Linked DNA regions of Arabidopsis thaliana. The protein of the gene in region 1 purifies or fractionates together with the protein of each later gene. This does not show direct contact. Each region holds a gene or a part of one and is shown on either strand. Other genes may lie near its edges.

The links.
Region 2: the proteins of CKS2 (region 1) and CDKB1;1 purify together in Arabidopsis thaliana (affinity purification with mass spectrometry; 2 studies listed by BioGRID). This does not show direct contact.

Annotation. Positions count from the first base shown.
Region 1 is NC_003071.7:11,911,358-11,915,362, reverse strand, and holds CKS2 (CDK-subunit 2), read left to right. Parts: upstream 1-1,937; 5' UTR 1,938-2,102; intron 2,103-2,214; 5' UTR 2,215-2,250; coding exon 2,251-2,303; intron 2,304-2,397; coding exon 2,398-2,458; intron 2,459-2,765; coding exon 2,766-2,903; 3' UTR 2,904-3,212; downstream 3,213-4,005. Other genes in the region: AT2G27980 (Acyl-CoA N-acyltransferase with RING/FYVE/PHD-type zinc finger domain-containing protein), read left to right, coding at 66-323, 397-461, 538-594, 685-778, 1,074-1,214, 1,297-1,413; CKS1 (cyclin-dependent kinase-subunit 1), read left to right, coding at 3,820-3,872, 3,948-4,005. UniProt on the Arabidopsis thaliana protein: Binds to the catalytic subunit of the cyclin dependent kinases and is essential for their biological function.
Region 2 is NC_003074.8:20,057,740-20,062,159, forward strand, and holds CDKB1;1 (cyclin-dependent kinase B1;1), read left to right. Parts: upstream 1-1,931; 5' UTR 1,932-2,142; coding exon 2,143-2,770; intron 2,771-2,864; coding exon 2,865-2,934; intron 2,935-3,137; coding exon 3,138-3,276; intron 3,277-3,418; coding exon 3,419-3,511; 3' UTR 3,512-3,749; downstream 3,750-4,420. Other genes in the region: FIP37 (FKBP12 interacting protein 37), read left to right, coding at 1-10, 131-178, 556-609, 884-1,045, 1,191-1,260, 1,344-1,399, 1,502-1,657; AT3G54190 (Transducin/WD40 repeat-like superfamily protein), read right to left, coding at 4,020-4,261, 4,362-4,420. UniProt on the Arabidopsis thaliana protein: May control G2/M (mitosis) phase progression. Plays a role in regulating seedling growth in darkness via regulation of hypocotyl cell elongation and cotyledon cell development. Plays a role in stomatal development. Required to suppress endoreduplication.

The DNA.
Region 1 (4,005 bases):
GCTCTTTCATTCCCTCGGGTGAAAACTCAGTATCTATCTTTCTCATTCTTGTTATGTCTTAACAGGAGCTACCTGAAGAAAAATGGTTCTGTTCCCTCGGGTGCGAAGAGATCAACACTACATTGGGCAATCTGATAGTTCGCGGAGAAGAGAAGCTAAGTAACAATATTCTGAATTTTTTAAGGAAGAAGGAACAACCTAATGAAGAAAACTGTCCAGATTATAAAACCACTCCTGACATAAGATGGAGGGTCCTTAGTGGGAAGTTGACCTCTTCAGATGATACCAAAATATTGCTTGCAAAGGCACTTTCCATTCTTCATGTAAGTCAAGACCACATTTCAAACTCTTCTGTCCTTTCTGCTGTTTGTCCCTTCTAACAATTGTATGCTATAGGAACGGTTTGATCCTATCAGTGAATCTGGGACCAAGGGAGATTTGATACCAGCCATGGTGTATGGGTAAGCAATTTTGTATCTTCAATCAGTCGAGTGGATTATTCTTTGTGCTGATCAACAACTTTTGTGTGTGGAACAGAAGGCAAACAAAGGCCCAAGATTTTAGTGGCATGTACTGCACTATGTTGGCTGTGGAGTAAGATTCTTCTTCTTTTTCACTCTAATTTATTTTCTGTGACGCATGTTTCATCTTTTTAATGTTGTCCTTTTTTTGTTTCTTGTGCAGCGAAGTGATTGTTTCAGTGGGAATCTTTAGGGTTTTTGGGTCAGAACTTGCAGAACTCCCTCTGGTTGCTACCAGCAAAGATTGTCAAGGGCAGGTAAACAGTTTTTATCTGGAACCTTGGATGTTTTTTCTTTACAACAGGTGCCTACTCCTATAGAATGGTTAATAAACGACTCACTCTTACTGTCAATCCCATACATTGATAAATTATACAGTGATACATCTAAGCAGACATGTTTTTGTGTCGAATAGCTTAAGAGCAGAACAATGTGTAGCATCTTAATTGCAGAAGGAATTTTTTTGTGTCAAATTGTACCTGGGGGATGAAATGCTTGTGATTGCTCTTTTTTGAGAGTTTGAGAATTTATGTTTTTTTTTTCCTATTGTAGGGTTACTTCCAATGCCTGTTTGCTTGCATCGAGAGGCTACTTGGGTTCCTAAACGTGAAACATATCGTGCTACCAGCAGCAGATGAAGCCAAATCCATATGGACTGACAAATTTGGTTTCACCAAGATGACCGACGAAGAGGTATATATCTATATCCATATAAACTTATATACACTCCCAATGAATCCCATCTCTGATACACACTGTGTTTGTGTGTTATTAGGTGAAAGAATACAGAAAAGACTACTCGGTGATGATCTTTCATGGAACATCTATGTTGAGAAAGAGTGTACCAGCACCGAGTGCCGTGAGTAAAACTGAGGCCAGTAAGGAGGAGTAAGCTCAAGGTTGTCTTTGTTTTTTGGTTTTTGGAAAGTTGGTGAAACGATTGGATGCTCTTTTTTAATCTAATTTCGGGTAGTAGCCACGTTCTTGTACAGGTTTCTCCCCTAACGTGTCTTTCTTTGTAATGGAAACTAGAGAGAAAGATACACAAAAGGGTTAGAGAATTTGGTTTTGGTAGAGACGAAGTAGAGATAAGAGGGGGAAGTAAATGGGGAAGTCTAAAACATTAGGGCATTCTTTTGGGGGTTTAGTCATGATTATCCGAAGCTAATTTTTTTTTGTATATTAGTGCCCAAAAATGAAATTCAATTTTCTGAAATCTTTTTCTTTTTGTCACTGATGTTTATATATCGAACAAAGGAGGTATACAAAGCCGGCGAGTATACGGACACCTGAACTCTGACTATAAGAGGAAGATACTGATGCCTTTAGAAATGAATCTCTGAACCGGGAATTATACCGGTTTGATTAACGTCGAACCGTAATCAAAATTTTAGGGCTCCACTAAGCGGGAAGGAGCGCCTCTAAGAAATTTGAAACTCAAAAAAATCAAAACACCCGTTGAGAAAATGCCCCTATAAATCCCCATAATTACTTCCTTACCACAATGCCTTTTTAATTCCCTTTCGCTTTCCCTCTTCTCCCCTAAAATTCATTTCGTTTCCGATCGCACTTCTTCTCAAGGTCTGCTTTACTTCCCGATTCTTAGATTAGGGTTCGATTTCTGATTTGTTTAGGTTCTCGTCGTTGTTTAGGGTTTAGATTACTGACAGATTGCTCCATTTCTTTTGTTTAGTAAATTTAATAGACGTTTGTTGGGTGATTTAAGAAGATGGGTCAGATCCAGTACTCCGACAAATATTTCGATGATACTTTCGAATACAGGTGATTCTCAGTTTGATTCTCCTCCCATTTTAATGGAGTTCTCTCTCACGTTTTAGTTTCAGTCTAATCGCGTGGTCTTTTATTTTTCTCTCAGGCACGTTGTACTTCCTCCGGAAGTTGCTAAGCTTTTACCTAAGAATCGTATTCTTTCGGAAGTAAGTTAAAAATTAGGGCTTTCCTCTATTCGCTGTATAACCCTTGAATCATCGTAGGCTAAGAGATTTACATGTTTAAGAAATTAAGTTAGGAAATTGAAGTTTGGACTTTTGAGAGTCGAAGAAATTGAAGTTTCTGCTTAGGAATTTGAAGTTTTGCTTCTCATTAACTTGTTTATTAACTTTAGGTTGTGTAATTGTCAGCAGTGACGAAGATAGTTTAGATATTTTTTTGTGTTATCAGTCAATTCTCAGTTTTCTGATTTTGAAGTTAACAGTTTTCTTGTTTTACAATCTGGTTTTGTAGAGTGAATGGAGAGCCATCGGAGTGCAGCAAAGTCGTGGATGGGTTCATTACGCGATTCATCGTCCTGAGCCACATATCATGCTCTTTAGGAGGCCTCTTAACTACCAGCAGGAGCACCAAGCTCAGATTGCTAAGTAGAAGAATTATGCAAAATTCTCCCTAATCTCTGTTTATGTCTCTCGTAAACGAGGTTTTAAAATACTACTCTGATGTTTTGTTCCTGTAGTTTTTTTTATTGTGTTCATGAATTCTCTTCAGTGGAGAATCATGTGAGTTTGGTAGAACAACTTTTAATGTTATGTTAAGTCTGGTCCTTTGCTAGACTTTGGTTGGATCCACGTTTGAACTTCTTCATGGTTAAGAATGAAGACGTTATTTCTCATGCTTATGTGCTTGTTTCATCATTTCAACCTCTTTTTATTGCTCCTCTTAGAGTCTTAAGTCCATAACTATGAACAACAAACAAGGTATCATTACAATGCCAATCTGAAGGTCTAATCACGATTCTCATGGCGATACTGATTCAAAGAAACTCATATTGTGTCTCAATCACCACATTCACCAAACACCATATATTCCTTACTGTACTACTATTAGTGTATTGAAACCAGGAGATTCAGAGCCATTTTTATAAATTAACTAGATATGTATCTTATACCTAGTGTGAAGCACTGATTGTTGGAATTAAATGAAATTTCGAGAAAATGAACGAGTTCGTAGTTTGATGGTAAATAACAAGGTCTTTGGTCAAAGCAACCAAACAAGTTGTTGAATTTAATTAGAACCAAACCAATCCACCCAATTTCAATTCATTTTGGTAACTAACCGGTTTATAATCATTCATACCCAATCGGCGTCTTCTAAAGAATTTCAAAACTCTAAAAAGTTAATCAAACACCCCTCTATTTCCTCATAATTACATATCTACCCCAAACCACTTTATTCTCCTTTCACTATCTTCCCCAAATTTCAAACGATCAGATTACAGATTCTTCAATTCCTCTTTCCCTTCTCCTCCATTTCCTGATTAAGGCTTCACATCTCTGAGAGAGAAATGGGTCAGATCCAATACTCCGAGAAATACTTCGATGACACTTTCGAATACAGGTAAAGCTCTTCAATCTCGCTTCTTCTTCCTCCAATTTTCACTCTCACTTCTCTAATCGTAATCGATCGATACAGGCACGTCGTTCTTCCTCCTGAAGTCGCTAAACTTCTTCCAAAGAATCGTCTTCTCTCC
Region 2 (4,420 bases), on another chromosome or scaffold:
AGAATTGAAGGTAATTCTCGAGAAACTCATTGCCTACCACTTTGATTCCTGACTGATGCTATCACATGTTTTCTTGACCATTACATAGAATAGATGTCGCTAAACACAGTCTTGTATTTTGTATTTCTAGTCAGCTGTTCGCGATTTGAAATCTCAACTCAAGCCAGCGTCAATGCAGGTATATAGTTCTCCCAATGTTTTGATTCTGGAATAATTTATACAATTGTGCCAACAATACAAATCGTGAAAAAAGTTAGCTGTTGAAGTAACTTGGACTTTTCTAGGCATAGTCCGCTTTTTATGCCGTAGTGTACCTTTTATGACGGTCATCCTCGACCTTGATGCATGTAGAGGGAAACCTTTTCCTTGCCTTTTAGATTTCAGTCTGAATACGATGATAAGCGCATGTTTCTTGTAAACCTTTACCTGGCATCTGAATTATTAACAAGTCTGAATAGAAGAAATGGCTATAAATTTTGAATTGCAATGGTCATTTAGCAGCTTGTCATGATCAGATAGCAGTGTAGATTATTTATTCTTTGTTTACCTTTGTAGGCGAGGAGGTTGTTACTGGATCCAGCAATTCATGAAGAATTTTCACGTCTGAAGGTCTGCACCTACTCGTTTCTATTTACCCTTAGACTACTTTTTCATAAGGATGTATTTGTCGTAATATATCCTTAGATAATCCAAACTGTATCTACGGAACAAAATTCCGCTTTCGTTATGAATGGCCTGAAAGAATAATTCCTTAATAACTGATAGCTGACACTGTCGTAGTAGATACAGTTGAGGACGAACATTCCCAACTTTTTGTTAATGTACATTTGTTGCAGTTAAGTAAAGAGTAGATGAAGTTTGATTCCATGTTTCTATTATGCAGAATCTAGTAGAGGAAAAAGACAAGAAGATCAAGGAACTCCAGGACAACATTGCAGCAGTTACTTTTACTCCTCAAAGCAAGAATGGAAAGATGCTTATGGCAAAGTGCAGAACCCTGCAAGAGGAAAATGAGGAGATTGGGCACCAAGCTGCCGAAGGAAAGGTATAGTTTGTTCTACTCTCAGTCTTCAATCTGGAATTATATGAATTATATAGTAAAGCAGTAGTCTTCTTCAACCTTTGTAAAACATGATTCCCTGAAAAGGGTAAAGAAATTGATGCTTGCCTATGTTCATGTGGAATGGCAGATTCATGAACTAGCAATAAAGCTTGCAATGCAGAAGTCTCAAAACGCGGAACTTAGAAGTCAATTTGAAGGTAAGTCATATGTTGATATTAAGTTATAGCAAAGATTTTTGTAGAGTTTGCAATTTGGATTTGAGGATTTTTGTGGAATGCAGGACTGTACAAACACATGGAGGAATTAACTAATGATGTTGAGAGATCAAATGAAACGGTGTTGATCCTTTTCTCTTATCTCTTAATTCCTCAAGATTTTTCTTAAAACGGAAGAATGATTATGGTTTTGTTGGAAATATGTGACTTTGATAAATCTCAGGTGATAATATTGCAAGAGAAACTGGAAGAGAAAGAGAAGGAGATAGAGAGAGTAAAGAAAGGACTGGAAATTGTGTCTGAGCTAGTAGGTGACAAGAAAGATGAAGTTGATGAAATTGATGAAGATGCAAAAGAAGAAATTGCTGGTGGAGAATAGGAATTTGTAGCTTTCAAAAAATGTTTTGTACATTTTGAAGTTCAAAATCACATTTCTTCATTCGTTATCTGTTTCATGAAACAGAAAGTTCTAATCTTCATCTTCTATTAATATGTTTTAATTCGCACCATTGGTGTTTCGATATCGATATGTGGCTTCCCGATATAACTCGTGAAGAATTTGAACTCGTCAACTCACGCAAATCATCTGAGTAGATATCAGATTAGACCAAAATAAGTGAGTCCAATTAGTTTTCCCCAAAAACATTCACAGAGGTCACGACTTTAGGTTAATCTGTTGCAGTTGTCACGAACGAATTCAAAATCCAAAGGAGCGGGAAAAACGAAGTGACGTGGAAGTATCTTAGCGAAAGCATCTCTCTCTCTCTCTCTCACAATCCATCATCTTCATTAATCTGATCAAATAATAGGGTTAATCAAAAGTCCAGAAACCAACACAGTTCAATTTTACGAAACCTCTCAGAAATGGAGAAGTACGAGAAGCTAGAGAAGGTCGGAGAAGGAACATACGGGAAAGTCTACAAAGCGATGGAGAAAGGAACTGGTAAGCTTGTTGCTCTGAAGAAAACTCGTCTCGAGATGGACGAAGAAGGTATTCCACCAACTGCTCTTCGTGAGATCTCGCTTCTCCAGATGTTATCAACATCGATCTATGTTGTTCGATTACTCTGCGTCGAACATGTTCATCAACCATCAACCAAATCTCAATCTACCAAATCCAATCTCTATCTCGTTTTCGAGTATCTCGATACTGATCTTAAGAAATTCATCGATTCGTATAGGAAAGGACCTAATCCTAAGCCTCTTGAGCCTTTTTTGATTCAGAAGTTGATGTTTCAGCTTTGTAAAGGTGTTGCGCATTGTCATAGTCATGGTGTGCTTCACCGTGATCTTAAACCGCAGAATCTTCTTCTGGTGAAAGATAAAGAGCTTCTTAAGATTGCTGATTTGGGTCTTGGTCGTGCTTTTACTGTTCCTCTTAAGTCTTATACGCATGAGATTGTTACTCTTTGGTATAGAGCTCCTGAAGTTCTTCTTGGATCTACTCATTATTCAACTGGTGTTGACATGTGGTCTGTTGGTTGTATCTTTGGTTAGTAGTCTCAATTATGCTTTTATGTTTTTGAATTCGTCTCTCTGCGATGTGATTTTGTATTTATGCTGTTTCAATCTTTGAATTTGTATAGCTGAGATGGTTCGGAGGCAAGCTCTTTTCCCTGGTGATTCTGAGTTTCAGCAATTGCTTCATATCTTCAGGTATTTTGAATTTACCTTCCATTACTTCTTCTGGTTTTGTCCTGTTTCAGTGTGAATTGCATCACTGAATGATATGCTAGCTTACCAATTGAGAACAACTGATTCTATATAGTCCAGGTTTCTTTGACCAATTATTCAATGGATTTAGCATTCTTGAATAGAGACTATGATCTTTACTAATGGTTCCTATTTGGTTCATGGAGGTTGCTAGGAACACCAACTGAGCAGCAATGGCCGGGTGTTTCCACACTGCGTGACTGGCATGTTTACCCTAAGTGGGAGCCGCAAGACTTAACTCTTGCTGTTCCTTCTCTTTCACCTCAAGGAGTTGATCTTCTCACGGTAAATAACTCCCTGATGACCATAGCTTTGTTGCAAAGTTGCTCTAATATTGTTACCTCTTGCTTCTGCTTCCCTCTTTTTTTCCTAAGCTGAATTGCTTGGTTAAATCTTTCTGATTGAGCTTATGTTTGTACAATTGCAGAAAATGCTCAAGTACAATCCAGCCGAAAGAATTTCAGCAAAAACAGCACTTGATCACCCATATTTTGACAGCCTTGACAAGTCTCAGTTCTGAAGTTCATTGCTGTATCTGTTGTCATCGTCTTGGTGAATTTAAACATTTGATCTATCTTTGTTTCCGACACATTAGTGTCTTATGTTTGGTTTAGAGATTTGTAGTCTTTCAGAAGAAACTGGTAAAGCTTGTATTCTCAAGTGAATGTAAAACACAATGGTGTGGTAGCAATGAGATGATTTTCTATCAATCGCTTGTTTTTGTGTAATCATACAAAGTTGATGCTCAACTATCTGAATCAAGTCAATTTTGAAAATTAAAGTGAGACCTTACAGGTGGAATAAAGGGTCTTTCATAGAATTGTCAAAACCCAAATGTTACGTACAATGGTATTAGTGTACACAACTGGCATTCTGACGCGCACACTTGCCCACAAATGGTTTACAACACAGATGGCTGCTCAAAGACACTAAGTTAAAAAGATTTATCGCTACACACAATTGAAGGAAACCAAATGATACATTCGTAGTAGTAGTAGTAGCAGCTAACGATGACGATGTATGTGAAATCAATTGGACCACACATGAACAAGGCCGTGTCTGTTTCCTGTGTATATCTCATTGCGTTCTTCGTCGTAGAAAAGAGCGGTTATGTCTTCCAAAGCTTCAGCTACAGCGTTTCTTCTTTGCTTTGAGTTCTTTCCCATACAATTACTGCTGCTGCTCTCATCATCTTTTGGAGGCCCACTGCTTGGTGTTATTTTAGCTAAGCATTTCCCAGTCAATATATTGCTGATATTGATTGATCCCGCTGGATCATCCCACAAAACACCAATAATCAATATCCATCAATGAGATTTGTTAGGTTATAATATCTGGTTAATATTATCTTGAGGGGTTATTTTTCTTACCATTTCCTTCTATCCACTGATCTTCGGTATCTGCTTTGCAGTACGAGATGATCAGATCT